5 linked regions of the Oryctolagus cuniculus genome follow. The protein of the gene in region 1 purifies or fractionates together with the protein of each later gene. This does not show direct contact. Links are inferred from orthologs where the notes say so. Each region holds a gene or a part of one and is shown in the gene's direction. Other genes may lie near its edges.

Region 1 (6,007 bases):
CCCTGATAATGGCCTGGGAAGCAATGGAAGATGGCCCATGTATTGGGACCTGTGCACCCACATGGGAAACGCAGATAAAACTCCTGGCTCCTGACTTCAGCTTGGCCCTGAGCTGGCCATTGTGGCCATCTGGGGAGTAAACCAGCAAATGGAAGATTCTCTCTCTCTCTCTGTAACTCTGACTTTCAAAATAAATGAATAAATCTTAAAGGGGGGGGGGGGGGCAGCACTGTAGCGCAATGGGTGAACACCCTGGCCTGAAGTACTGGTATCCCACATGGGTGCTGTTCGAGACCCGGCTGCTCTACTTCTGATCCAGCTCCCTGCTGTGGCCTGGGAAAGCAGAAGATGGCTCAAGTCCTCAGGCCCCTGCACCCACGTGGGAGACCCAGATGGAGCTCCTGGCTCCTGCCTCTAGCCTGGTCCAGCCCTGGCTGTTGGGTGCATGTGGGGAGCGAACCAGCAGATGGAAGATCTTTCTCTGTTTCTCTTCCTCTCTGTCACTCTTTCAAGTAAATAAATAGATAAATCTTTTAAAAATTAATTTGTAGGTTTAAAACAATTATAATTTTTAAAAACATTTTTTCTTTTAGAACAAATAATGACTCATTTCATCCAGAAGGGTGAGGACAATCGGGAGAAAACTTTTGAGGTGATGAAAGGAAACTGGTGGTGGCAGAATTCTGAGACTTCAATGCTTGAAGCTTCTTCCAGGTCTCCCACGTGGGTGCAGGGGCCCAAGGACTTGGGCCATCCTCCACTGCTTTCCCAGGCCATAGCAGAGAGCTGGATTGGAAGAGGAGCAGCCGGACTCCACTGGTGCCCATATAGGATGCCGGTGCTGCAGGGGGAAGATTAGCCCATGACACCATAGCGCCAGCCCTGAATATTAAATTTTATAAAAATAATTATTTCAGGGGCCGGTGCCATGGCTCACTTGGTTAATCCTCCACCTGCGGTGCTGGCATCCCATATGGGTGCCGGATTCTAATCTAGGCTGCTCCTCTTCCAGTCCAGCTCTCTGCTGTGGCCTGAAACACATTTCGCACGTTTTACATCTCCAGAATTGCTGTTTGCCTTACATCCAGTGGGATGCGTATAGCAGGGCGTGATCGGCAGCATTTCTTTCTTAGTGATGCACAGAAGCACTGTGCGTCGTCTGTCTGAGGCGTCTTAGGTTGGGTAGAATGCAGTGCTTTGTAGCAGGTCCACCTGGAAGGGCCGCTGTGTAGCTGTGCCGCGCCGTCGTCCTGCAGGAATGGAGGTCCTTCTGCGGCTGCGTAGGCAGTTGGTGCCGCCTTCTCCTTTGAGAAGCCCTACCCAAGTGCTTCTGGTCATGCTCCGTGGAGTCCAAGCTTATGTATCATTCGGTCACCTAACACACAAGCTCAGATGTGTGTGTATACGCATCGCTTTGTTTCAGAAGAGTCACCCTGTATTGGGGACGTCTGCAGAAGCGGGCCGGTGCCCCGGCCCAGAGTCGCCATTAGCCCCAGAACGCATCCTCATCTTCCTGCGGGAAGAAGCTTCACTGAGTGCATCTGGAGCCCTCTCCCAGCCTCCCTGTGTGGGGCCGTGGGTGAGGGAAGACCCTGCAGACCTCCCAGATCCCTGTGTGGGGCCGTGGGTGTGAGGGAGACCCTGCAGACCTCCCAGCCTCCCTGTGTGGGGCCGTGGGTGTGAGGGAGACCCTGCAGACCTCCCAGCCTCCCTGTGTGGGGCCGTGGGTGTGAGGGAGACCCTGCAGACCTCCCAGCCTCCCTGTGTGGGGCCGTGGGTGTGAGGGAGACCCTGCAGACCTCCCAGCCTCCCTGTGTGGGGCCGTGGGTGTGAGGGAAGACCCTGCAGACCTCCCAGCCTCCCTGTGTGGGGCCGTGGGTGTGAGGGAGACCCTGCAGACCTCCCAGCCTCCCTGTGTGGGGCCGTGGGTGTGAGGGAGACCCTGCAGACCTCCCAGCCTCCCTGTGTGGGGCCGTGGGTGTGAGGGAGACCCTGCAGACCTCCCAGCCTCCCTGTGTGGGGCCGTGGGTGAGGGAAGACCCTGCAGACCTCCCAGCCTCCCTGTGTGGGGCCGTGGGTGAGGGAAGACCTTGCAGACCTCCCAGCCTCCCTGTGTGGGGCCGTGGGCGTGAGGAAGAACCTGCAGACCTTCCAGCCGTGGACTGGAGAGGCGGGAGGGCGGCCGGCGGGAGGGCGCTTAAGCCACCAGCTGAGATGTACTCGTTCCATCCGAGTGTCTGGACTCGAGCCCCAGCTCTGCCCCGCTTCTGTCTTGCTGCTGACGCACACCCTTCGAGGAGCAGATGACGGCTCAGGTCGTTGGGTTCCTGCCACTCATGTGAGAGACCTGGAATGAGTGTTAGATGCCCAGCTCCAGCCCAGCCCTGGCCCTTACAGGCATTCGGGGAGGGAGCCAGCAGGTAGGAGCGCTCTTGTATCTGTCTGTCTCCCCCCATCCTACTCCCTCCCTCCCTCCCTCCCTTTCAAATAAATAAAAGTAAAATGTAAAAGAAATTTAAAGGCTTTTTAAAATATGTATTTGTTTATTTGAGAAGCAGAGTTACAGAGGGAGAGACAGAGAGGTCTTCCATCCGCTGGTTCACTCCCCAAATGGCTGCAACAACTGGAGCTGGGCCAATGCAAAGCCAGGAGCCAGGAGCTCCTTCCCGGTCTCCCACGCAGGTACAGGGTCCAAGCACTTGGGCCATCTTCTGCTCTTCCAAGCCACTAGGGAGCTGGATTGAAGGCGGAGCAGCCATATGGGATGCTGGTGCCACAGCCCCGGCCCCAAGAGCATGCACTCTTTGGGGGTGCTGTGCAGTATGGCGGATGCGGTGAGTGACATTTGACTGACAGTTCAGTCACTGTGTGAGCACATGTGGCCTTGAAGGCTCAGGTGGTGTCCATTCCAACAAGGTTGCTTTGAGGAGTGACTGAGATCATGGATCTCAATGATCTGCACAGCCCAGTGCCTAGTAAGTTACAGTTCTTGCTGCCCTTGGGTTTTCCAGAGACTGCGTAACTCGATGCTGGCTGCTTGCTTGTGTGTGTTTCCACTGGAACTTGGTATTTATGGAGGATTCTTTGATTGTCTAAGTTTTGTCTTTGGATTAAGCAAGACCATCAGAAACCTTCACACTTGGACTGTCTCTGGCTGTCCAGAGAACTGCTGAGTTTTCCCATCGGGCTTTTTGACTCGCAGGAGGCTGCGAGAGCGCGTCTAGTAAAGCCGCCACTGCAGATTTGAGGGCCTCAGCGTCGCTGTCTGGGCAAGAGCGCGTCGCCTGTGCATCCGCCGCTCTGAGGACGGAGGCTGTCGTGAGGGTGATCTGGTAAACTGCTAGTTGCTTCCCCGATAGGGCAGATTGTAAGTCAGTGCCCTACACGTATGAACCCGTTACTAGACCTGATTCTGCTCAAGTCTTGGGAGAGGTAAACTCTAGGTGTAATATTGTAAGAAATCAGGGTAGGCATTGTGGCGTAGTGGCTAAGCTGCTGCTTGGAGAGCCTGGGTCAAGCCCCGGCTCCTCTCGTTCCCACCCGGCTCCCGGCTGATGCGCCCTGGGAGGCAGCAGTGAGGGCGCAAGCACTTGGGCCCCTGCCCCCACGTGGCAGACACAGATGGGGTTCATGGCTGCTGGCTTCAGCCTGGCCCAGCCCTGCTGTTGCCACCATCGGAGGAGTAAGCCAGAGATGGAAAGTCGATCAACTGATCTCTCTCTCTCTCTCTCTCTGCCTTTAAATAAAATGAAAACAAATAAAAATTTAGAAAACAAATCAATCAAAATGATGGCAGTTAGCAGGATGTACTTTATGACAGTCTTAGGAAACATTTGCTTTTTGAAATTGGTGCCTGGACATGGGGCATGCAGTACATACAGCCTACACACTGTGAGTATTACAGTTGTTCAAAGGGGCCGGTGCTGTGGCGTAGCGGGTAAAGCCGCCGCCTGCAGTGCCAGCATCCCATATGGTGCCGGTTCGAGTCCCGGCTGCTCCACTTCCCATCCAGCTCTCTGCTGTGGCCTGGGAAAGCAGTGGAAGATGGTGCAAGTTCTTGGGCCCCTGCACCTGCGTGGGAGACCCGGAAGAAGCTCCTGGCTTTGGATCAGCGCAGCTCCAGCCATTGTGGCCAACTGGGGAGTGAACCAGTGAATTGGAAGACCCCTCTGTCTCTCTCTCTGTCTCTGTCTCTCTCTCTCTGCCTCTTCTCTCTCTGTGTAACTCTGACTTTAAAATAAATAAATAATTTTTTTTTAAAAAACAAGTTGTTAAAAGGCGGGAAGTAGCTTAAAAAGTAGAAAGGGCAGTTTGTGACTCTAAAGGGGCGGGATGGGGGGGGGGGTTCCGCGGCCCAGCGGTTGGTGTGCTGTTCCTGATTGCTGAGGGAGGGGCTAGCTCCTGAGCCTAATTGTGTCATAACAGTGCAGCCCATAACAGCATAACAGGACACTTTTCTCTAATCAAGTAGTTCCTCCAGGATTTCTGTCGGGACTTTTTTTTTCTTTTTTTGCAATCTAAACTTGGTATAGGTTTGAAAATAAAATTTTTCTATAATTTGTATTTTTCAGATAAGTTTTCTTCCTCAATGCTGAAATAAGAGTTTTCATATTTCACATTTTTATGAGACATATCAACAAACCTCTTAGTATCTGTGTGTTTTTCCTGCAACAATATAATTTGTCAAATTTTTTTCTATTTAGGTCAACATTTGAGTGCTTTATCAGCTTATTACTCTAATATGTACATTTTTTTAAAAAGATTGATTTATTTATTTGAAAGGCAAGGTGATAGGCAAAGAGTCAACCATCTGCTGGTTCACTCCCCAAACACCCACAACAGCCAGGGCTGGCAAGCCAGAGCCAGGAGCTCCACCTGGATCTCCCCTGGGTGGCAGGAACCCAACTACTTGGGCAGTTGTCTGCACTCCCAGTTGCATTAGCATAAAACTGAATGGAAGGTGGAGGTAGGGCTCAAACCCAGGCACTCTGATGTGGAATGCAGGCATCCCAGATCACTACACACCCCGGCACCTCAGCACGAACCCTTGAAGCGGCCTCTCCCCTTATCCTTGCGTGAAACCCCGGGCTTCACAGATGTCTTGGGGCCAAGGGGCGAGTGGATGATGGTGTCAGGAGGCTCTGCCCAGCCCTGGCACACATGCCTGTTCTACATTAGATCGCAGCTTTGGGCACGCGTTAGCGTAGTGGCTCCTGGAGCTGAGCCCACTCCGCTGACCGTGCTTCCAGCTCGCAGAATCACAGAGACTGAAGGAAGCGTGAGAGACCCTCTGCAGCCCAGCTCTCACCCTGCTGGGCCCCAGGCCCTTCCCTCACCTCAGGGGCTAGTCACTGCTCAGCGTGCATGCTGCTGGCACGCAGTCCTTTTTCCTTCATGACCATCTCTCGAGTTGCCCCAGTACTCTAAAGCTGGTGGAATGTAAAGCTGTTGTGAAGGTAAAAGAAAGTACTGTTGGGGCCGGCACTGTGGTGCAGCAGGCAGAGCTGCCGCCTGCAGCGTCGGCATCCCACGTGGGCGCCGGTTCAAGTCCCAGCTGCTCCACTTCCGATCCAGCTCCCTGCTGTGGCCTGGGAAAGCAATAGAGGATGGTCCAAGTTCTTGGGCCCCTGCACCCACGTGGGAGACCTGGAGGAGGCTGCTGGCTCCTGGCTTTGGATTGGCTCAGCTCTAGCCATTGTGGCCATTTGGGGAGTGAACCAGCAGATGGAAGACCTATCTCATTCCCTACCTCTCTCTGTAACTGTCTTTCAAATAAAAAAAAAATCTTAAAAAAAAAAAAAACAAACATCATTTGTGGGCCATACAAAATCACCAGTTTGAAGACTGGCCTGTTGGAGATTTGATGAATTCTGAGTCCCACCTGCAGCTGCCGTGGCAGGGCCAGGCCAGGTGATTAGCGGGCCGTGTGTAGCTGTGACGTTCCCCGCCCCTCAGGCACATCTATGAATTGTATTTATGCTTGTGTGACAGTATTAAGCAGTCTCCA
Region 2 (5,792 bases), on another chromosome or scaffold:
CCTCTGCTGCTTTCCCAGACACATTAGCAGGGAGCTGGATCAGAAGTGGAGCAGCTGGCACTCAAAACAGGTGCTCATATGGGATGCCCATGTTGCAGGCAGTGGCCTTACCCAATATGCCACAACGCCAGCCCTGCGGGGCTCATTTCTAAAGAGTCTTGGATCGCAGAAGTAGATAGGAAGACATGTAGTTGTTTAGAGACTTGAATGGATGTCATGGTGCAACAGGATAAGGGGCTGCTTGGGACGCTGCATTCCACGTAGGGAAGGAGTGCCTGGGTTGAGTGCTGGCTACCTTGTGCTTCTGATGCTGCTTCCTGCTGATGCACCTGGGAGGCAGCACACAATGACCCCAGTGCTTGGGTCCCTGCCACCCACATGGGCAACGTGGCTGGAGTTCCATTGTCCTTGTGTCAGCCTGGGTCAGCTTTGGCTATGGCAGGCATTTGCAGAGTGAACCAGTAAATATGGAAGACTTCTTTGTCACTACCTTTCATTCAAATCTTTTTTTTTTTTTTTTATTCAGTTGGATTGAATCAGTGTTCAAATCCTGCTCCATCAGTGTCAGAATGATAGTAGCTCCCCTTGAGGGTTCATCACCATGTCTTCTGGGAGAAGCTAAGGAAGTTTGCACTCGTTTGGGGAAAAAATTTTTGACACGAGGTTTGTGTCTTAAGGATGTGATAGACCCTTGCAGAGTTGATATTTCCCCTGTAAGATGTTGCCACCAAGATTTGGGTTGTGTACAATAATTGAAAATGACTTTTAGGATGCAGTGAGTGTTTCATCTGGTGACATTTATTTTGATATTTTAAAAATGGGGAGGGTATTTTCAGTCACGGGGGGTAGGGATCTGAAGGAAGAAGATGCAGAATTGGGGTCAAGGTTTTCAGTTTCCTCCAATTATTATGTATTTATTATATGGTAGATGTAGCTAATCAGTGCTTCGAGTGGTGACTACAGCAAATGCTTTTGTTACTTATAACATTCAGGGAGTTTTCATTGTTCTTTGTTCCCTAACCTCAGCAACTGGTAAGGTACCTGCTGTTATTCCCGTTTTTTAGATGAGGAAACTGAGGCCTAAAGAGGTCAAGTGACTGTTCCAAAGTCCCACACCGAGGGGGTGGGAGATGAAGATATGAAGATAGAATTTTTAAAAAAAAACTTTCCTTTTAAAAAGTCAATGAGTTTAGATTAAACAAAGTCTAAACATTACTGATGCTTAGGGACATAGGGAAAACCATGAGTCATTGCTTAGCCTGTACAAAATTGTATCATGTTTCATTAAGGCAACAAGTATTAAGGACCGACTATTTGCCTGACAATGGCTGGACCTGGTTTTCTTAACAAAACATACGTTCTAGTGCGGGAAGGGAGGAGCACTGGATGAAGTAAACTAAACGAATTAGACTCGGGGGAGGATTTTGAGAGTAACGGGTGGTCCAGGAAAGAGCGCTCCGAGATGACTGGCACATGAGAAGCAGCGAGGGGCGTGCGTGCTTGCGTGCGTGTGTGCAGTAAGTCAAAGGGAGGAGGAGAGGGTTCCTGGCCAAGGGAACCAGAAGCCAAGAGGCTCCAAGTCAGATCAAAAGCAGCACTTGACCGGCTGGGGGAACTGGACGCAGACCGGTGTAGCTACCGCACAGTCAAGAGGCAGACTGTGAGTTTCAGCAGAACGGCGTTTTAACCCCGAAAGGAGTTTGGGTTGTTCAGTGCGACGAGGCGCTATTAAAGTTTTAAACGTGCAAATTATGTAACAGCTTCTTTCTTAATCATTGTTTCCCAAACCGTATTGTATATTTCCGCCCCCCCCCCCCAGCGGGGGGTGGGGGAGAAGGTCGTTAAGACAACGCTATGGGCTCGGACATCACTCGCAGGCGTGACCGCCTGCGAGGCAGCGGCGCGCGGGACGCCTCAGCTGGGCGCGGCCGGGAGGGTCGGGAGGCGGGTCGGGACCGCAGCCGGCCAGGCACGGCTGCTCCAGGTAGGCGCTCCTCAGGTAAGCTGGGGCCCGCAGCTATGTCGCCTCAGGCAGGGCACCGCCCTCACCAGGGTGGCGCGCGACGTGCGGCGGTCTCCCACCGGGGACTGCTCGGCGCCCGCGCCCTGACACCTCCCCGGCGTCCTCCGCGCTGGCCGCTCCCGCACCGCTCGGGTCCCGGAGGCGAGGCGAGGCGTGGACGCGGGGCGAGCCGGGCAGCGGAACTGACGCCGGCGGGCTTCCGGGGACGGCCCCGGGGAGAGCGGCGGCGGCGGCGGCGGCCCGCAGTCGTGGAGGAGCGGCGGGAGCGTCAGCGGCTGCGGGCGACGCAAGTTCCGGACAGGGCTCCCCTCTCCTCGCCTCACGTCTCTCCTTCCTCTGGTCTAGTCCAGTGCTGTCTCTCGACGGCGGCTCTTCCGGCCGAGCGCCTTCGGAGTGCGGGTGCTGAGGGGAAGCCGCCGCCGCCCCCGCCTCGGGGCAGAGGAAGGGTGCGTGTCGCGCCGCGTCGCCCCCCGGCACCGCCTCCTGGCCCCCAGTGGCGGCCCCGTTCTCGCTGGAAGCACTCCCCCCAGCTCCATGAATGGAAATCGGCTCCGCAGGTGAGTGAGTCAGAGCTGCCGGGTGCGTGGCGGCGTCACCCCTCTGCGGCTCCCCCACCCCGAGCCTCGCGGCTCCCCCTGCCCCGGCCCAGGTGGGCGACGTGAGCGCGGTGCCTGCGTCCTCCGTCTCCCGCCCCTCCGCGGCTTTCCCGCAGCGCCGCCGCAGGTCCCTGGGGGCCACCGAGTTGGGCGAACCTGCTCGGAGGGTTCAGAGCGGGGTTCTGTGGGCGCGGTGACTCCTCCTTTCCGCGGTGCCCGTCTCCGCACCCGTCGCGGCTGTTAGGCCAGCTGACGGTGCGGCGGGGTGCGTGTCCTTTAACCGGGCTGCGTGTCCCGCCGCCGCCTCACCTGCCTCTGAAGGTAGCTGGGGAGGCACATGGAGGTGACCGAGGAGAATTGGGTGTGAGATCGGTGTTGCTGCCACGGCCAGCGCAAGATGGCATTGCTGTCGTCCCCGAGCGCCCCGCCGGTGCCTCTGGCTGCATGGAGAGTTTTCGAGCTGCTTTGGAAACGTCCTGGATCGCTGCTTTTAGGAGATGGGTCTTAAAATCGCTGATAGCATCCCCCACCACCACCTCTCCAGGCTCCATTACCTAGAGAAGCAGTTATCAGATTCTTGGAAATTTGGATTTTAGAAAAACTACCTTCTCTCCCTGAGGGAAACAGGGGCGTCTTGAGGGAAAATTGCAACAAGGACAGTACTTGTCTTTTAAAAAGCAAAGGCAGTCTCTGTGGTTCTAAAGTAATTAGTTAGGGATATAAAGTAGGTATTACATAACGGTTTGTTTACCAAATGATCATGCTTGGTATGTCAGTTTTGGATGTCTGCTTCATCCAGGTGATAGTTTATAAATTAATATTTGAAATATTTGAGGTAGGGTATCATTGCTAATATTATTACAATCCTGAGTTTCACATCTCTTTTTGCTAAACTTGAGAGGTACCTGAACACAGCAAAAGCTTATGTAAAAGGAACCAATGACATAAAGATAAATAGTTTGTTGAATAGGTTATGGAGTGTTATTGTCAAATGGCTTTAATAAAGCAGTCAGAAATGGTGGGTGTGGGCTGGGAGAGTTTATTATAAGTTTGATTAAGTGGAATTTTCTCCATATCCTCTTGAAAATAGAAAATTTGTTTCAGCCTCTTAATTTTTAATAATTTGCTTCCAAAACTGTGTCTGCCCTTGTTTTGAAATATTCTACCTCAGGATTTGTTTTTACTGTGCAGGAAAGCTGGTTTAGGGCTATAGATGAGTTTTCCATAACTGTCCTGTTTTCAAGCCTGAAAAAGCATGAAAGTTAAATATTTTATTAATCATCCTATAATTTTTAATGATATTTAGAAAATTTTTGAAATGGCTTTCTCCTTTCTTTTTTTCATATGAAATTATGCCCAAATAAATGGCAACATCTGGGAAGATACTTGTGCCATCAAACCATCTACTTAACTGGTGCAACTAGCTAAGTATGGCTCTGAAAAAAGTTTTATCTCTTCTTTTTGGGTGCCCATTGCTGAAATATATACCCAGTTAGCTGTGAAATTATGGATTCATCAATCATGCACTTGTCCATCTTGAAACGTAAAGTTATTCTTCAGTGCAGTTTATATGTTACTGACTGTAGTCTAACAAGCTATGCTTTGGCTCAAGATTGTCATCAAAAACAAAACTTTAATTTTTTCCTGAGAATTATATGTAATTGTTATGCTGAATGGGAAGTTGAAAGCATAATGGAGAAGCATGTGCAGCTAACTTTTAAATCCAGAGTTTGAGATACATATGTAGTTTCAAATTGTTTAGTTGTAAGTGTTCTCTAATAGAATATTTGGTTGGTATTAAATCTTGGTGACTTTGTGTGTGTGGAGATTTTCAGGTGTCATGTTATGATAGGATATTTTAAATTCTAGTTGTTACACTGACACGTAGAAAACTATTCAGTATGTTAGAGGACTTCAGATACAGATACCATGTAATTGCCTCTTCTATTTATGTATTTATTTGAAAGGCAGAGTTAGGGAGAGAAAGAGAGAGAGAGGTCTTTCCTACGCTGGTTCACTCCCCCAAATGCCTATAACAGCCGGGGCCAGGCCAGGCCAAAGTCAAACTGCATCTGGATCTCCCACATGGGTGACAGGGACCCAAGCCATCTTCCACTGCTTCCCCAGGGATGTTAGCAGGATGGGAAATGGAGCAGCTGGGACTCAAACCAGCACTCACAGGTGGTGGCTTAACTCACTGTGCCACAATGCCAAGCCCCGTGAAATTGTTTCTTGATGAATCATTCCTCACTAAAAGTCAATATTTGTCTGTTCTTCCCTTTCACATGAAATATTTTAAATGATTCTTAAATATGTCATATAGTCTACTGATTCAGTACTGTCTGAACTTTGCTTTAACAAAAAAAAACTGACATAGTTTTTAAAATAATAATAGTAGTTTAGCGTCTGTACCTGTGACTCCTTAGGGGAACTTGTGATGAAACCCTGTTTGTTTATGGTCTAATTGCAGCCAAACTAAAAGGATAGATTGTTCAAACAAAGCGGGAATAGGGACAGCAGAAATGTTCCTTGAGATATCATGTCTAGGTGCTTGTTTTTTAGAACATACTATTCTATTTTTAGGTTAAGTCAGACTATTGTTTAGAATGGAAGGAGTTATACTTAATAATGGAAGGGAAATATTTACTTTTACCCTGAATTAATAATATGCAAATTGATGTAAAGTTTGCTAGTTGGCTTTTTGTTTGTTTGTTTAAGATTTATTTATTTGAAAGGCAGAGTTAAAGAGAGAGCTCTTCTACCTGCTGATTCACTCTCCAAATGGTGGCAATGGCTGGGGCTGGGCCAGGTCAAAGCCTGGAGCCTGGAACTCAATCTAGGTCACCCCATGGGTGACAGGAGCCCAAACACTTGGGCCACCTTCTGCTGCTTTCCCAGGCACATTGGCAGGGAGCTGGATCTAAAATGGAGCAACTGGATTTGAACTGGGGTTCATATTGGATGCCAGTGTGGCATGCGGTAAATTAACCCACCATGTGCCATTCATTGATAGTTGCTTCATACATGGTCTTGCAAAAGTGAATCAGGGCCGGCGCCGCGGCTCACTAGGCTAATCCTCCGCCTAGCGGCACCGGGACACCGGGTTCTAGTCCCGGTTGGGGCGCCGGATTCTGTCCCAGTTGCCCCACTTCCAGGCCAGCTCTCTGCTGTGG
Region 3 (5,930 bases), on another chromosome or scaffold:
ACTGCGCCACTTTTGATTCCAGCTTCCTGCTAATGCACATCGGGGAGGCAGCAGTGGTGGCTTAAATAGGTGGGTCCCTGCCACCCGTGTCGTCTGGGGCTCTTGGCTTCTGCCTGGCCCAGCCCCAGCTGTTGTGACCATTTGGGGAGTGAACCAGCAGATGGAAAATACTCTCTCCCTCTCCCTCTTTCCCTCTTTCCCTCTCCCTCTCCCTCTCCCTCTCCCTCTCCCTCTCCCTCTCCCTCTCCCTCTCTCTCTCTCTCTCTAACTCTGCCTTTCAAATAAGCCAAATGGTTTTTTAAAAGTTCAAACATTTATAACAACCCTTCAAAATTAGACCTTCAAATAGAATAAGATATCTAAGTTGAATGTGAAAGTTTGAAGGATATCCAGGATTTTTGAATTTGTGACTTTAATATTTCAAGTATCAATGTTTCAACTAGACTAAAATTCAGATATTTCTATGCATAAAAAGTGCTTTTAGATGGGAAGATAAGAATACTCATTGTCAGTGGCAGTGTTCTGCTTTGCCTGTCTTCCAAGCGTGCTGACCCTAGTTACTCGAGGTCTGTGACTGGCAGGATGCTACGGTTTGTGGCACTGCTGCTGGTATGACTGGCTTATCCTCTGGGCCAGTTCTCCAGCTCTTCTGTCCAACTTCAAGTAGAGGGGACCTGCTTTAGTGACTGCTTGTACTGTAGAACGTGGCTTCACTGGTCGTGTTTTACTTCTCGGAGCTTTGTAGAAATTAGTCCTTTTTTATAGTTTCTTTATAAAAAATGATTTACTTATTGGAATCAGAGTTAGAGAGAGAGAGGGAGGGAGGGAGAACCCAAAAAAGAGAGAGCGCTTCCATCTCCTGGTTCACTCCTCAAATGGCCATGACAGCCAGTGCTGGGCCAGGCTGAAGCCAGGAGCCAGGAGCCTCATCGGGGTCTCCCATGTGGGTGACAGGCACTGCCACTCTCCCCTGTTTTCTCAGGCACATCAGGAGGGAGCTGAATTGGATGGAGCCAGAGCAGCCAGGTGTGGAACTGGTGCCCGCAGGGGATGCCGGCATCGCAGGCAGGAGCTTAACCTGCTACACCACAAGGCTGGCTTTTTTTTTTTTTAAGGATTTACTCATTTATTTATTTTAAAGTCAGAGTTATACAAAGCAGGAGAGGCCGAGAGAGAGAGAGAGGCCCTCCATCTGCTGGTTCACTTCCCAAATGGCCGCAATGGCCAGAGCTGCACCAATCTGAAGCCAGGAGCCAGGAACTTCCTCCGGGTCTCCCATGCGGGTGCAGGGGCCCAAGGACTTGGGCCATCCTCCACTGCTTTCCCAGGTCACAGCAGAGAGCTGGATCGGAAGTGGAGCAGCTGGGATACAAACCGGTGCCCATATAGGATGCTGGCACTGCAAGTGGCGGCTTTACCCGCTACGCCACAGCACCGGCCCCAATACTGGCTTTGAAATTAGTATATGTGGGGTTTTGTTAAGTCAGAAATACTTGTTTAGATGATAGAAACCACATTTGAAGTGTCTTAACCTTAGCTATATGGTGACTTTAGTGAACCTGAATTGATTTTTTTTATTTTTTATTTTTTGAAGTGGTAACCTTTTTCTTTTTTTCTAGAAAGAGAGCTCCCATGTGCTGGTTCTCTTCCCAGATGTCCACAAGAGCCAGTACTGGGCTGTAGCCAAAACTTGGAGTCAGAAACTCAATCCACATCTCCCATTTGGGTGGCAGTTCCCAGTCACTGAGCTGTGGCTGCGGCCTCCCAGGACAGGAAGCTGGACTCAGGAGCTGGGGATCAAAGCTAGATGCTCCGTGTGAGACATGGGAGTCTCAACCGTGAGGCCAGGCATCCTCCTCAGGCCTTTCAGTTTCCTCATTTCTTTGGAAACGTCTTTCTTTTCTTGAACATCATTGGAGCTATAGCTAGTAGTCATCCTCCAATCAGATTTGAGTGGTTAACATTCTGTGCTGGAATGTGTCTGTTCTTTCCGTTAACTGACTTTTTATGGTTTTGAAAAAGCAGTACATATCTTTTCTACTTAGTTCAAACCAAAAAGCAATTATTTGGTTAGAAATGAAGTCCGTTGGCTTAAAGAATGTCAAGGCTTGTGGGTCAAAGAGCTCTGTTCGCCTAGAAGGTCAGCCGTGCTCCTTAGGCCAGAGCAGAAGGAAGGTCAAGCTTATGGATGAGCGGTCGTATACTCTGTCCATTGGCAATGGAGACTACTTTTGGACAGATAAAGACACGCTGTGGAATTATGTGCAGTCTCTGTCTGGTAAGAAGTGAGCAGTTACAAATAATGGACATTGAAAAAACATTCTAAAACTGACTACAAAAATGAATACTCTTAAAAAAAAAAAAAACTTGAGAAGCATAGATAAGCAAACATAATTTTTATCTTGGGTGGCTGTTTAGCGTGGTGGTTGGGATGCCACCCGGAAGCCCACATCCCTCACTGGAGTGCCTGGGTTCACGTCCCGGCTGCTGCTGACCCAGCTTCCTGCTGAGGCACACTCTGGGAGTAGCAGATGCTGGCTCAAGTGCGTGGATTCCTGCTGCCCAAATGGGAGACCCGGGTTGAGATCCCAGCTCCTGGCTTCAGCCTGGCCCAGCCCTGGGCGTTGTGAACATTTTGGTTGTGAGCCAGTGGATGAGAGCTCTCTCTGCCTCTCAAAGAAATATTTTTTTTTTTTAAGATTTAGTTATTTAGGCCGGCGCCATGGCTCACTAGGCTAATCCTCTGCCTGTGGCGCCAGCACACCAGGTTCTAGTCCCGGTTGGGGCGCCAGATTCTGTCCCGGTTGCCCCTCTTCCAGGCCAGCTCTCTGCTGTGGCCAGGGAGTGCAGTGGAGGATGGCCCAAGTGCTTGGGCCCTGCACCCCACGGGAGACCAGGAGAAGCACCTGGCTCCTGCCTTCGGATCAGCAAAGTGCTGGTGGCCGCAGCGTGCTGGCTGCGGTGGCTGTTGGAGGGTGAACCAACGGCAAAAGGAAGACTCTCTCTCTCTCTCACTGTCCACTCTGCCTGTCAAAAATAAAAAAAAATTATTTATTTACTTGAAAATCAGAATTACACAGAGAGAGAACTAGAGGCAGAGGGAAAGAGAGGTTTTGCATCCGCTGGTTCACTCCCCAGATGGCTGCAACACCTGGAGCTGCGCCAATCCAAAGCCGGGAGCCGGGAGCTTCTTCTGGGTCTCCCAAATGGGTGCAGGGTCCCAAGGACCTGGGCCATCTTCTACTGTTTTCCCAGGCCACAGCAGAGAGCTGGATTCAAATTGGAACAGCTGGGACTCGAACCTGTGCCCATTTGGGATGCCGGCACTGCAGGTGGCAACTTTACCCGCTACGCCACAGCTACGCTGACCCCTAAGAAATATTTTTAAATTCGTTGTTTAAAATTTTATGGTGAGTATTTGTGGAATGGGAGATTTTGCTTCGATCTAAAACTTATACCTTGCCTTTTTTTTTTTTTTTTTTTTTCAGTTAATGTATTTATCTGAAAGAGTTACAGAAAGAGAAAGAGATGTTCCATCTGCTGGTTCACTGCCCAAATGGCCAAGGAGCCTGGAACTCCATCCAGGTCTCCCATGTGGGTTGCAGGATTCCAACTCTCAGGCCGTCACCCGCTGCCTTTCCCAGCACGTTAGCAGTGAATTGGATTGGAAATACAGCAGACAGGTCTTGAAACTGCTGCTCATTTAGGATGCTGGCATCGCTGGCGGAAGCTTAAACCCATTGCTCCGCAGTGCAGGCCCCATGAACACTGATTTATCTGCTAACTTTATCAGAATTAACATTTCTGGGACTGGTGTTGTGCCAGAACTGGTCAAGCAGCCACTTACAGCACTAGTATCCCACATGAGTGTAGGTTTGAGTACTGGCTGCCCCACTTTTGATCCTGCTCCCCCCCACCCCATGCACCTGGAAAAGCTACCCTTTTGTGGCCATTTGGAGAGTGAACCAGCAATGGAAGATCTTGCTCTCTTGCTCTCTCCTCCTCCCCTCCCCCTTCTTCTCTCCCTCCCTAACTCAGCCTTTCAAATAATCTTTTCTAAAAAAGAAAGAAGTAACATTTCACAGAATGCCCTTCTTATAGGGCAGATAAGTTCTTAGATTGATAGGTTCTCAAAAGCAGATTATTGTTAGTATAAATGTGATTTGAGAAGGGTGTAGACATTTCACAGTAATCTAAGGCGGTCTGTAATCAAGTTACACTAAATTAACTTCATTGTCAATTTGTGTGGTTAAAGATTTATTTATTTATTTAAAAGTCAGTTACAAAGAGAAAGATGGAGAGAGAAAGACCTTCCCTCCATTGGTTCACTGCCCAAATGGCCGCACCAGCCAGAGCTGGGCCAGTCCAAAGCCAGGAGCCAGGACCTTCTTCTGGGTCTCCCACATGGGTTCAGGGACCCCAACACTTCAGCCATTCTCCGCTGCTTTTCCCAGGCACGTTAGAAGGAAGCTGGATCGGAAGTAGAACAGCCGGGACCTGAACTAACGCCTTTACGGGTGCTGGTGTTGCAGGCAGCAAAGCACAACGCCGGCCCCCACTTTGTGTGTTTAAAGTACAGACATAAGTGTATTTAAAAAAATAACCATAGGAAGCCTTAGTTGTCCTGGCAGAGGCAGAGGGAAAGGGAGCTGGTGGTTATTTAGCGTTTCCAGCTAAAGACAGGCCAAGAATAGACTGTACCGACTGAGTGACAGGTTCCAAGGCGTGTGCCCGTTTCCTTACACCATACTGGCTCTTGAAAGAGGAAGGCTGGGAACCCCCGCTGGCTGCTGGCACATCTTAGGCCAGCGGTTCCTAGTTAGCTCTTCTGACCGCTGATTCTTCGAGATGCTCCTGGAATGTGGGTTTCTAGGCAGTTACCAAAAAATGCCCAGACTGGGGCAGGCATTTGGCCTAGCAGTTAAGACACTGCTTGGGACCCTCGTATCTCATAGCAGAATGCCTGGATTTGCCCGGCTCCTCTCCAGACCCCGGATGTGCACCCTAGTGGGAGCAGATGTCACCCCTGTGGGAGACCTGGATTGGGTTCTTGGCTTCTGACTTCTGCTTGGCCCAGCCTCTCCCGCATCTGTTGTGGGAATCTGGGGAATGAACCAGTGCAGTGGGTCAGAGCCCTCTGATAAGATTGTAAGTGTTACAGTTTGGTGGGTTCTCACACTCTGAGCACACCACTGGATCTTTAGCAGACTCCGCTAGCTTCCTCAAGGTAGCTGCTTATCTGCCTTATGTTAGTTTTGGGCTGGCATTTAAAAATTTTATTTTTAATTTTTTAATGTTTGTTTACTTTCATCTACTTGAAAGAGTGTCAGAGAGAGATCTAGTGATTGATATTCCATTGCTGGTTCGCTCCCCAAATACCCATAACAGCTGGTGCTGTGGCAGGCCAAAGCTAGAAGCCCAGAACTCCATTCAGGTCTCCCACGTGAGTGCAGGGGCCCAAGGACTTAGGCCATCCTCCACTGCTTTCCCAGGCCACAGCAGAGAGCTGGATAAGAAGAGGAGCAGCCGGGACTGGAACTCGGCGCCCATATGAAGTGGTAGGATTATTGACGCGGAGAGCAAATTAGTGGGAGCTAGGAGTAAGGAGGAGGGGAGGAAGTGTGTGTAGCTGTAAAGTAAAAAAGAGAGCATCCCGGAGTTGATGGCTGTGTGCGTCTTGACTGTCCCTGTGTGCGTCTTGACTGTCCCTGTGTACGTCTTGACTATCCCAGTGTGCGTCTTGACTGTCCCTGTGTACGTCTTGACTATCCCAGTGTGCGTCTTGACTGTCCCTGTGTGCGTCTTGACTGTCCCTGTGTGCGTCTTGACTGTCCCAGTGTGCGTCTTGACTGTCCCTGTGTGCGTCTTGACTGTCCCTGTGCGTTCGGGCTGTGAGATGGTCCTCTGATGTTGGGGAAATCGGGTGAGGA
Region 4 (5,987 bases), on another chromosome or scaffold:
TTTCTCAATTTGAGACCTCAGGCTAGAGATTTCTGTCTTCTAGATCTCTTCATTTATTTGAAAGAGTTACACAGAGAGAGGAGAGGCAGAGAGAGAGAGGTCTTCCATCCAATGGTTTACTCCCCAGATGGCCACAATGGCCAGAGCTGCCCGATCCAAAGCCAGGAGCCAAGAGCTTCCTCCGGGTCTCCCACACAGGTGCAGGGGCCCAAGCACTTGATCCATCTTCCACTGCTTTCCCAGGCCATAGCAGAGAGCTGGATAGGATGTGGAGCAGCCGGGTCTCGAACCAGCGCCCACTTGTGATGCCAGCACTCCAGGCCAGGGCATTAACCCACTGCACCACAACGCTAGCCCCTTTTTTTGAGAGAGAGAGAAGAGCTCCCATCTCTGCTGATTCACTCCTCCAAATGCCCAATGACCCTTACTTGGGGGAAAAGCTGGGAGGCTGGAACTCAATCCAGGTCTTGGGTGGCAGGAACCCAATAATTTGGATCATCTCTGTTGCCTCCCAGGGTCTGTATTAGCACAAAGTTGGAGTCAGGAGTGAAGTGAAGCCATGTGTTGAACCCAACCTTTTTTTTTTTTTTTTTTTTTTTACAGGCAGAGTGGACAGTGAGAGAGAGGGACAGAGAGAAAGGTCTTCCTTTGCTGTTGGTTCACCCCTCAATGGCCGCTGCGGCCGGCGCACTGCACTGATCCAAAGCCAGGAGCCAGGTGCTTCTCCTGGTCTCCCATGCGGGTGCTAGGCCCAAGGACTTGGGCCATCCTCCACTGCACTCCTGGGCCATAGCAGAGAGCTGGACTGGAAGAGGAGTAACTGGGACAGAATCTGGTGCCCCAACTGGGACTAGAACCCAGTGTGCCAGTGCCGCAGGCGGAGGATTGGCCTATTGAGCCGCGGCACCGGCCTGAACCCAACCATTTTGATATAGAATGCGAGCATCTGGGACCTGTGCTTTGGCACAGCGGGTTAAGCCGCTGCCTGCAGTGCCAGCATCCCAGAAGGGCCCCAGTTTGATCCCTGGCTGCTCCACTTCTGATCCTGTTCCCTGCTAACAGAAGATGGCCTGAGTGCTGGTGCCCCTGCACCTTTGTGGGAGACCTGGATGAAGCTCCTGGCTCCTGCTTGGGTCCAGCCCAGCCCTGGTCTTTGTGGCCATTTGGAGAGTGAACCAGCAGATGGAAGACTTCTGTCCCTGCCTATACCTCTCCTCTGTGATTCTGCCTGTCAAATAAATAAATAAGTATTTTTAAAATCTTAACCACTAAGCCAAATTCCCACTCCTTATAGGATTTTGACATCTAAGCACCTGTGTCAGATGAGTTTGAGAGACCTCTGAGTTCGGGTATTTTCCTCTTGGTCTGGAACCCCTTTGAGTCCTAGAGAAGTTTAAATTCTTGGGTCTTTTTATGAAGGTCTAAATACTTTATTTTTTTTCAAAAAGATTTATTTATTTGAAAGAGTTATACAGAGAAAGAGACGGAAGAGAGAGTCTTCCATTCGCTGGTCCACTCGGCGCTGATCTGAAGCCTGGAGCTTCTTCAGGGTCTCCCACGCGGGTGCAGGGGCCCAAGGCCTTGGTCCATCTTCTTAATGCTTTCCCAGGCCATACCAGAGAGCTGGATCGGAAGAGGCGCAGCCGGGACTAGAACCGGCGCCCATATGGGATGCTGGCGCTTCAGGCCAGGGCGTTAACCCGCTTCGCCACAGCGTGGGCCCCCGGTCCAAATATTTTAAACCTGCATCCTCCACAAAGCGTGTCTTCCACTGAGTCCCTCTCCATGGCCTTTAGAAACAGTAAAAAGTGCCCAGAGACATCTCCCAACCTGGAGTCTTTCAAGCTCACTGGCCCCGAGAATCCCTCAGCGTTTTCTGTTGGTAAATCCTATGCGTGTTCGGAAGGCAAACGTCCCCGTTGGCTGTGCCCCCTTCCCTCTGAGGGACTACTGCACCAGCTAGGGGAATTTGTCAGCTGGGGAGCCCTATTCACTGGGAATATTACGGGGCCTCTGGGGAGCAAGCAGTCACCGATGGGAATTTTAGATGGATGCTTTTGGGCCATGTCAGGAGTGTGGCTCCTGCTTCCTTTTTTCTCACCCATATCTACACATGATAGGAAATACCAGCGAGTTTCGGGGGCAGCAGGGTCAGAAGTGGCGGGGTGGCTCACAGGAGCGCCGCTTGGAGAGGGGGTGGACCAAGCCACGCCGGGAATACCCAGGAATCGCCGGCCAGCACCCTGCCTTGGGCGCCCCTCAGTCTGACTTTCTAAAGTTACAGAGAGCATAAAGGCTCGGCTTCTAAGTCTAGGGCTAATTTCATTCAAATAGGGTTAAGCAAGAAACTACTTTTCACACCACGGAAACGCCGGGCCCGCCTCCACTTGTCCCCATCGGCACACCGTAACTCCGTTTCGCCTCGCTCTTGCGTCACACACGTTCTCCGGGGCCGTCAGTACCTGGCTCCTTCCGATTGGCTTCGACATGTCCCAAGCCCTTCCTGATTGGCAGCGGCAACTATGAACCCGCCCTTCTTCCCGCCGTAAAGTTCGGTTGAGCTGGAGGCGCGGGGGAGAACTAGGGAAATTGGAATTTCCCACGTAGCTGACGGCGCTTGCTCTCGTACTACTCGTTTTAATTCCACGCGCTCCAAAATATCCGCCATGGAGAAATCTTGGTAATGACCCATTCCCCCGTAGGCATCCCAGGAACACATCTGACCCTTGCCCTAATCTCCTCCCCGCCGCCGGGGGAGAATTCTGGGTAACCGATTTCTCAGGTTCCCCCAGAGAATTCTGGGTAGCTATCCGTTTCCATCACCCTCCCCTACCCCCACCCTACTCGTGCATAAGTGGCCATTCTTGTTTTCCCCAAAGAATCCTGGGTAACTATTGCTTAGGATTCTGGGAAACTGACATCTCTAGTTCCCCTCACCACTCAAAGCCAGTTCTGGGGGAAAAGCTCCTTGGACCCCTCAACCTAGCTCTACCCGCTATGGTTCCCGCTGCCTTCACCTGTCCCAGGGTTGAAGTCTCCCGAATGAGCGGGTCTGAGGGAGGAGGGAGGGAAAGCAAGGATGAGGTCGGACAGCAGGGCGGTGAGAAGAGAGGGCCCAGAGGAGAATAAGGATAAGTGTTCCCACCTCCCCACCCCTGCCTGCCTGCTTCGTCCTCTCCCTGCCATCTCATCCCTTCCGCCAGCCTCGCGGCACCCCTGCCCGCATAACCTAGGACCAGTACCCAGGCCTACCCGTGACTCAGTTAACCTCTTTCCCTTTGCAGGCCAGGATGTTCAGTCTAGGCCCTCTGGTGCTGTCTGGCTGAAGGCTGGGCCCGGCATCTAAAGGGACTGTGGCAAGGGAGGGTGCGACACAGGTCTGATCAGCTGCCTGCATCATGAACTTTGAGGGTCTGGACCCTGGATTGGCAGAGTATGCTCCGGCTATGCATTCCACCCTGGACCCTGTCCTGGATGCCCACCTGAACCCGAGTCTGCTACAGAATGTGGAGCTGGACCCGGAGGGAGTAGCCCTGGAGGCTCTTCCCGTCCAGGAGTCGGTGCACATAATGGAAGGCGTCTACTCTGAGCTGCACAGCGTGGTGGCTGAAGTGGGCGTGCCTGTCTCCGTCTCTCACTTTGACTTGCACGAGGAGATGCTGTGGGTGGGGAGCCACGGGGTAAGAACTGTATCCCTTTGTGGGGGAGTGAAAGGAGCTGCTGGCAGTCTCTGGTCTCTGCCCAAGGAGAGCTGCTTTGCCCAGAGTTAGAACTGAGTGGAAATGATGAGTGAGTTAGCTGGGGCTCTAAATCCAGACCAGAGGGTGGAGGCAGAACGGGGGGCCTAGGATCCAGGGATGAGTTACACAGATATTCGTTCTCAGGAGGCATCCTACTTTAGCCTGTTTGCCCTTCTTGTTTTGATTAATCTTGATAATTACCCATCAGTTAGACTATAGCCACCTAAACCTAATCTCTAATGGCTTTCTCTGTTTTCCATGTTTATAATTATAGAATGTTTAGCGAATGTGTCTGTATACCTTACAAGGAATTGTTTTGTCTTCTCAGGTTGATTTAATCTCAGAGAAGTTATCAATGTGATTTAAAAAAAAAAAAAAGATTTATTTGTTTGAAAGGCAGAGTTACAGAGAGAAAAGGAGAAACAGACAGAGATTTTTCCATCTGCTGGTTCACTCCCCAAATGGCCACAAAGACTAGGGCTGGGCCAGGCCAAAGCCAGGAGCTTCATTCAGGTCTCCCATGAGGTTGCAGGGGCCCAAGGACTTGGTCCATCTTCCACTGCTTTCCCAGGCACCTAGCAGGGAGCTGGATCAGAAGTGGAGCAGCTGGGACTGGAACTGACACCCATATGGGATGTGGGTGCTTCAGGCCATGGCTTAACCTGCTGTGCCACAGCGCCAGCCCATCAATGCAATTTTTAAAAATATGTTTCCATATTGCCAATATATTATGGAGCCATAGATTTTGTAAGAAATAATATGCTTTGGGGCCGGCGCTGTGGTGTAGTAGGTTAAGCCTGCAGTGCCAGCATCCCGTATAGGTGCTGGTTTGAGTCCCACCTGCTCCACTTCCAATCCAGCTCCCTGTTAATGGCCTAGAAAAGCAGTAGAAGATGGCCTAAGCCCTTGGACCCCTGCACCCAAGTGGGAGACCAGGAAGAAGCTCCCGGCTTCTGGCTTTGGATCCACCCAGCTCTGGCCATTGCGGCTATTTGGGGAGTGAACCAGTGGATCGGAGACCTTTCTCTCTGTCTCTCCCTCTTTCTATCTGTAACTATGCCTCTCAAGTAAATAAATAAATCTTAAAATAATAATAATAATGTGCTGCCCATTGTTTACTAATTTACCTTATGGGATGCTGGCACTGTAGGCAGCGGCTTTACCTGCTATGCCATAGCACTGGCCCCTAATTTACCTTTTACAGGACATGAATTGTTTTTCCATTAGAAGGGATGGATTTTTTTCTTTGTGACTTATTCCGTTTAGTAGGCAGTATCTAGGCAGAGAAGAAAGCTGAGTAAAACAGAATCCTTTCCCTTGAGGACTTTATGGGACACTGAAGAAGAAAAGATTTAAACAGATAATTCCATGGTGCTAAATGCCAGTGTGAAAATAGTTACTGCAGGGTCAGAGAGGGCCTTCCTTCACTTTACTTCAGGAAGTGATACCTGACTGCTTTTTGAGCTACCTGCTTGGTGCCAAACCCTGCTATAAGGTTTTAAGTTTGGAATGAGCAGTAAACAAATTAAAAAAATACAATATTCTCAGATGTTGGTTTGTACTAAAAAAAAATTACAGTGTAGTTAGGGAGGTGAGACAGTGAGGGGTGGGAGATGGTACTATTTTAGATCAGAAGATGTCTGATAGAGTCACCCTTGAGTAGAGAGACCTGGATCCAGGCTAGGATGACCATTCTATGTTTTCTAGAAGGAAGAGAAGGAACCATGCAGATATTTGGAGAAAGAACCTTCTAGGGAGCTTCATATGCTGTGTTGAAAGAGTTTAGATTTGATCATCCCGGATTTCTATCTGGAATGACAAGGTGTGGCTTGCCTCTAGGTGGAATGCTGAAGTAGCAGCATATAGTTTGGCTTAAAGAAGATGGAGCAGACTACTGTAGCAGCTCACATAAAATGTGACAAAGGGGGTGGGCATTGTGTCCCAGCAGACTAAGCTGTCACTTGGGATTCCCACATCCCATATCAGAGTGCCTGGGATCCAGTCCCACCTCTGCTTCCCATCCAGCTTCCTGCTAATGTCCACCCTGGGAGAACAATGAGTGACAGCTGAAGTACTTGATTCCTTGCCACCCATGAGAGAGACCTGGAGTTCCTGGCTCCTGGGCTCAGCCTGGCCAAGCCCTGCCTGTTACAGGCATTTATGGAGTGAACCAGCGGATGGAAGACGTCTTTGTCTCTCCTTCTGTGTCACTCTGCCTCCCCTCCAAAAAAAAGAAAAACATAAACA
Region 5 (5,207 bases), on another chromosome or scaffold:
CTCCACCTGCGGCGCCAGCACCCCAGGTTCTAGTCCTGGTTGGGGCGCTGGATTCTGTCCTGGTTGCTCCTTTTCTAGTCCAGCTCTCTGCTGTGTGGCCCAGGAGGGCAGTGGAGGATGGCCCAAGTGCTTGTGCCCTACACCCACATGGGAGACCAGGAGGAAGCACCTACCTGGCTCCTGGCTTCGGATCGGCACAGCGCACCGGCCGTGGCAGCCATTTGGGGGGTGAATGAACAGAAAAAAGGAAGACCTTTCTCTCTGTCTCTCTCTCTCTCTCACTAACTCTGCCTGTCAAAAAATTTAAAAAAAAATTAAAAAAAATACATTTTAGAATTATTTCTAGTATTTGGCAATTATAAACAATGCTTCATTGAACACTTCTATGTCTACTTTGAATATATATATCCGTTTTTGTTCAGTATGTATCTAGGAATGGATTTTTTTTGACAGGCAGAGTGGACAGTGAGAGAGAGAGACAGAGAGAAAGGTCTTCCTTTACTGTTGGTTCACCCCACAATGGCCGCCGCGGCCAGCGCACTGTGGCCGGCGCACCGCACTGATCCAAAGCCAGGAGCCAGGTGCTTTTCCTGCCATCCTCCACTGCACTCCCAGGCCACAGCAGAGAGCTGGCCTGGAAGAGGGGCAACCGGGACAGAATCCGGCGCTTCAACCAGGACTAGAACCTGGTGTGCCGGCGCCACAGGCAGAGGATTAGCCTAGTGAGCGCAGCGCCGGCCATCTAGGAATGGATTTTAAGTATACCAATATATACTTCCACCAGCAGCATAGGAGAAAGAATTCTAGATGTTTCACATCCTTACCAAATGTCATATTTTTTATTTTCTAGATAGCCACTCTTGTTAGTGTTTAATGCTATCTTTCCTTGTGATTTTCATTTGATTTCTCTGATGACTAATAAAATTGTATGTCTTCATCTCTGTTGGCTATTTCACCAGCACTTTTTTGTAAAGTGCCTGCTCAAGTCTGAAAAATTTTTCCTTTTTTTAAATAGTTGACTTAACTGCCTTTTCCTTATTAATTTATAGGCCTTCTTTATCATTCCTTTATTGAATATATATGTATGTTACACATATTCTCTGACTTGCCTTTTTACTCTCTTAATGGTATCTTTTGTTGAGAAGAACATTTTAATTTTAATATAGTCCAGCTTATTAGTATTTCAGCTAGTACTCTTTTTTTTTTTTTTTTTAAGGTTTTATTTTATTTGAAAGGCAGGCTTATGGAGAGAAAGGGAGAAACAGAAAAGAGAGAGAGAGCTTTCGTCCGTTGGTTCACTCCCCAGGTGGCCACAGCGGCCCAGGCTAGTCCAGGTGAAAGTCACGAGCCAGGAACTTCATCCAAGCCTCTCATGTGGGTGACAGGGACCCAAATACTTAGGCCATCTGCTGCTTTCCCAGGCACATTAGCAGGGAGCTGGGTCAGAAGTGGAGTAGCTGGGACTTAAACTGGTGACCATATAGGATGCCAGCATTGCAGTTGGCCCCCTAACCTACTATGCCACAGTGCTGGCCCCCTAGCTAGTACTTTCTGTGTCCTATTTAAGAAATCCCAATGTTATGAAAATAACTATGTTTTTTTTTACTGTCATTATTTTAAAACTTTCACATTTAGAACTTTCACATTTAGTACATGTCTTGATGTCTCAAAACATCAAAAAGCTCTTGTTGCTTGTTTGCTGGTGGTAGTCCCTCTGGTAGTGCAGAGCTTGGATTCTCAGTCTGCTGCCCATACCTAGAATCCATAAGTGTACCCAGGACAAAAGAAGCTGCTGAAGGTAGCTCTCCTCTGAGATTTTCTCTCTCTCTCTGGAGTTTTAACCTCTCCAGTCCTTATGTCTTTTTTTTTTTTTTTTTTTTTTGACAGGCAGAGTGGACAGTGAGAGAGAGAGACAGAGAGAAAGGTCTTCCTTTGCCGTTGGTTCACCCTTCACCCTCCAATGGCCGCCGCGGCCGGCGCGCTGCGGTCGGCGCACCACGCTGATCCGATGGCAGGAGCCAGGAGCCAGGTGCTTTTCCTGGTCTCCCATGGGGTGCAGGGCCCAAGCACTTGGGCCATCCTCCACTGCACTCCCTGGCCAGAGCAGAGAGCTGGCCTGGAAGAGGGGCAACCGGGACAGAATCCGGCGCCCCGGCCAGGACTAGAACGCGGTGTGCCGGCGCCGCTAGGCAGAGGATTAGCCTAGTGAGCCGCGGCGCTGGCTAACCTCTCCAGTCCTTATGTCTTAATACCTGGTGCCTTCAGAAAGATGGTTTCTGTATTTTACCTGGCTTTTCTGAATGTTCTCTACAGAGAAAATGGTTTGCCACTGGTTATTCCATCTCTCTTAGAAATTTAAATTATCAGCCAGCGCCGCAGCTCAGTAGGCTAATCCTCTGCCTGCGGCGCTGGCACCCCAGGTTCTAGTCCCGGTCGGGGCTCCGGATTCTGTCTGGGTCGCTCCCCTTCCAGTCCAGCCCTCTGCTGTGGCCCGGGAAAGCAGTGGAGGATGGCCCAAGTGCTCGGGCCCTGCACCTGCATGGGAGACCAGGGGGAAGCACCTGGCTCCTGGCTTTGGATCGGCACAGCTCACTGACTTAGTGTGCCGGCTGTAGCGGCCATCTGTGGGGGTGAACCAATGGAAGGAAGACCTTTCTCTCTGTCTCTCTCTCACTGTCTAACTCTGCCTGTCAAAAAAAAAAAATTAAAATATCATTTTAGCTTTCTAAACATACGTGAGTCTTTCAGAGAAAACATACCAACACTTTGATTGATCCTGCATCTCCTGCTTGTACATTATATCACCAAAACAGCTTTTGCGTCAACATCACTATATCCAAAAGACATTCCTCCTCCTTGTTTTACCTGATCTAGTTACTTGTGACTTTGTGACCACTGTTTCTTTTTGAAAGTTTTTTTCTTTACTTGGCATGCATGATAAGTTACTGTCTTGGACTTCCTTCTAGCTCTGGATTTTTCTCCATGGCTGGTGTCATCTTCCTGTACTACAAATTCTGACAGTTCTTCAGGATTTCTATCTAAGCCTCTTCTCTTTTCATTGCCATCCTCCTTGGTGATCTCATCAATATCATGCCTTCACTTACTACCTGTACCTAAATATTGCAAAAATTTGTATCTCTGTTTCAGACTACTCTGTTGAGCTTCTAACGACTATACCCATTTGCCTGGTTGACATCTTTGCTGGGATGATCAAAAAGCACAAACTCAAAATGTCTCAAAAAGAATTTATAATCTGTCTTCTACTTCAAAGTTATTTGTAAAAATCTGTTTCCTTATGTATCTTGTCTAACAGAGTCCCTTAAATATCTCTTTAATCTATTTGTTTCTTGACAACTCATCGCATTTTTTTTTAAGATTTATTTTACTTATTTGAAAGTCAAAGTTACAGGGAGAGAGGGAGAGACAGACAATCTGCCATCCACTGGTTCACTCCTTAAATGGCTGCAACGCCCAGAGCTGGGCCAGACCGGAGCCAGGTGCCAGGAGCTTCTTCTGGGTCTCCCATATGGATGCAGGGGCCCAAGCACTTGGGCCATCTTTTGCTGCTTTCCCAAGTGCAATAACAGGGAGCTGTATCTGAAGTAGAGTAGCTGGGACTCGAACCAGTATCCATATGGGATGCCGGCATCACAGGCACCAGCTTTACCCGCTACACCACAACGCTGGCCCCTCATCTGCCTTCTTAATCTACACTGTCATCGCCTCTTCTGTCGATCAGCCTCAGAAGCCTGTTCTTTTTCCCACAGCGTGGTCCTCTTGCTTGCCTTTGTAGTTACTGTGCTCTACCAGTTTCTCAAACATTTTGCAAACTTCTAAAAGAGTGCATTTTTGCCATGTTTTCCTCTGCCTGAAGTACTTTCTCCAACCCTCCTTTTCTTTTCTGTGTTCTTTGCTACCTTCAGATTTCAATTTAGTCATTACCAGTCATCCTTTCCTGACTAGGTTGTTGTCCCTGGTTCTACATTCTTACAGCTCCAGCAAGTTTTGTTGTAGCATATGTCTATATTGGGATTTTCATGGTTTTTAACGTTAGTCACTACTTAATAAACACACTAAGAGTAGGGACTTCATGTGTTTCTGGTCACCATTGTATTTCCTGGTACCTCATATACTGCCTGACATTTAATAGGCATTCAGTAAATATTTGTTGAGTGCACTAACCAGTTCTCTCTGCCTGTAGCTGAGGTGAAACGTGTTGGAGATACGCTCTTGGGAATGGCTACACAGTGTGTGCAGGTGAAGAACGTGGTCAAGACCTCGCCTCAGACTCTGTCCAACCTTTGCCTCAAGATCAATGTCAAACTCGGTGGCATTAACAACATCCTAGTTCCACACCAGCGGTATGAACTCTGTTGTCTGCTTGCCCTTGTCAAGGTACCATATGGGGATTAATGAAGAGATAGGATCCTGACCAGGCAGAGTGAATCAGACATAAGGGGAAAGACCAGAATGGGTGCTGGATGGTACTAGAGAGAGAAGACCCAATTCCTCACCATTTTGTTTTTCCTTCCTTGCTCAGCTCTGCTGTCTTTCAACAGCCAGTGATATTCCTGGGAGCAGATGTTACACACCCCCCAGCCGGGGATGGGAAGAAACCTTCTATTACAGCAGTGAGTGATACTTTCCAGCTTCCTCACAAAGTTCTCCTCTTGGCCCCAAGTCCCAAATACTGCGCAGGATTTCTTTTCCCTCATCTCTGGCCCTTAACCCTTCATAAGATCTCCACCATCTCACCATCCCCATTGCTTCCTCCCTTGTCATCTTCTTAAAGTTAACTTTGTATGGTTTGGTGTCTTTTTGTCAGGGAGAATAGTGAAAGTATAGCCTGTGACCAAAGACTTGCCCCTTTCTCCCCACCACTCGTATTTTGCATTTAAATTTTTTTGTTTCTCTCCAAGACTGCTCTTGGGATATGTGGGAGTGACCACCTCTCTTGCCTAGAATCTCTTTTAAGGGACTGACTTAGTTGCTGGGACTGTTCTTTTCTCTGGCTCACCCCAACTTCTAATTCATTTCATAGGTTAGATGTCTCTCCAGTCCCTTTGCCTGCTTTTTTCCGCTCCCTGCCCCATGTGGGCTTCCAAATTGCTAGGCTTCAGGCCTGCCTTGCTACTTTTGTTTCCTGAACCCTCTCATTTCTCTAGACAGCCTGTGAAGTGCAGTGAAATCCTGAAATATGCTTTATC

Evidence for each region.
Region 2: the proteins of TNRC6C (region 1) and protein argonaute-3 purify together in Homo sapiens (affinity purification with mass spectrometry; 3 studies listed by BioGRID and IntAct, with this or other methods). This does not show direct contact. The link is inferred for Oryctolagus cuniculus from reciprocal best matches to the Homo sapiens genes TNRC6C and AGO3.
Region 3: the proteins of TNRC6C (region 1) and CNOT10 purify together in Homo sapiens (co-immunoprecipitation; 3 studies listed by BioGRID and IntAct, with this or other methods). This does not show direct contact. The link is inferred for Oryctolagus cuniculus from reciprocal best matches to the Homo sapiens genes TNRC6C and CNOT10.
Region 4: the proteins of TNRC6C (region 1) and PAN2 purify together in Homo sapiens (affinity purification with western blotting; 3 studies listed by BioGRID and IntAct, with this or other methods). This does not show direct contact. The link is inferred for Oryctolagus cuniculus from reciprocal best matches to the Homo sapiens genes TNRC6C and PAN2.
Region 5: the proteins of TNRC6C (region 1) and protein argonaute-1 purify together in Homo sapiens (affinity purification with mass spectrometry; 5 studies listed by BioGRID and IntAct, with this or other methods). This does not show direct contact. The link is inferred for Oryctolagus cuniculus from reciprocal best matches to the Homo sapiens genes TNRC6C and AGO1.

What each region holds. Positions count from the first base shown.
Region 1 is NC_091448.1:3,393,854-3,399,860, reverse strand, and holds the start of TNRC6C (trinucleotide repeat-containing gene 6C protein), read left to right. Parts: upstream 1-2,102; 5' UTR 2,103-2,352; coding exon 2,353-2,420; intron 2,421-6,007. UniProt on the Homo sapiens protein: Plays a role in RNA-mediated gene silencing by micro-RNAs (miRNAs). Required for miRNA-dependent translational repression of complementary mRNAs by argonaute family proteins.
Region 2 is NC_091438.1:136,707,567-136,713,358, reverse strand, and holds the start of protein argonaute-3, read left to right. Parts: upstream 1-2,216; 5' UTR 2,217-2,561; coding exon 2,562-2,580; intron 2,581-4,027; exon of another isoform or gene 4,028-4,047; intron 4,048-5,792.
Region 3 is NC_091435.1:169,316,234-169,322,163, forward strand, and holds the start of CNOT10 (CCR4-NOT transcription complex subunit 10), read left to right. Parts: upstream 1-1,987; 5' UTR 1,988-2,007; coding exon 2,008-2,278; intron 2,279-5,930. UniProt on the Homo sapiens protein: Component of the CCR4-NOT complex which is one of the major cellular mRNA deadenylases and is linked to various cellular processes including bulk mRNA degradation, miRNA-mediated repression, translational repression during translational initiation and general transcription regulation.
Region 4 is NC_091442.1:59,146,002-59,151,988, reverse strand, and holds the start of PAN2 (PAN2-PAN3 deadenylation complex catalytic subunit PAN2), read left to right. Parts: upstream 1-2,533; 5' UTR 2,534-2,680; intron 2,681-2,792; exon of another isoform or gene 2,793-2,887; intron 2,888-3,284; 5' UTR 3,285-3,398; coding exon 3,399-3,680; intron 3,681-5,987. UniProt on the Homo sapiens protein: Catalytic subunit of the poly(A)-nuclease (PAN) deadenylation complex, one of two cytoplasmic mRNA deadenylases involved in general and miRNA-mediated mRNA turnover.
Region 5 is NC_091438.1:136,728,311-136,733,517, reverse strand, and holds part of protein argonaute-1, read left to right. Parts: intron 1-4,201; coding exon 4,202-4,361; intron 4,362-4,540; coding exon 4,541-4,631; intron 4,632-5,207.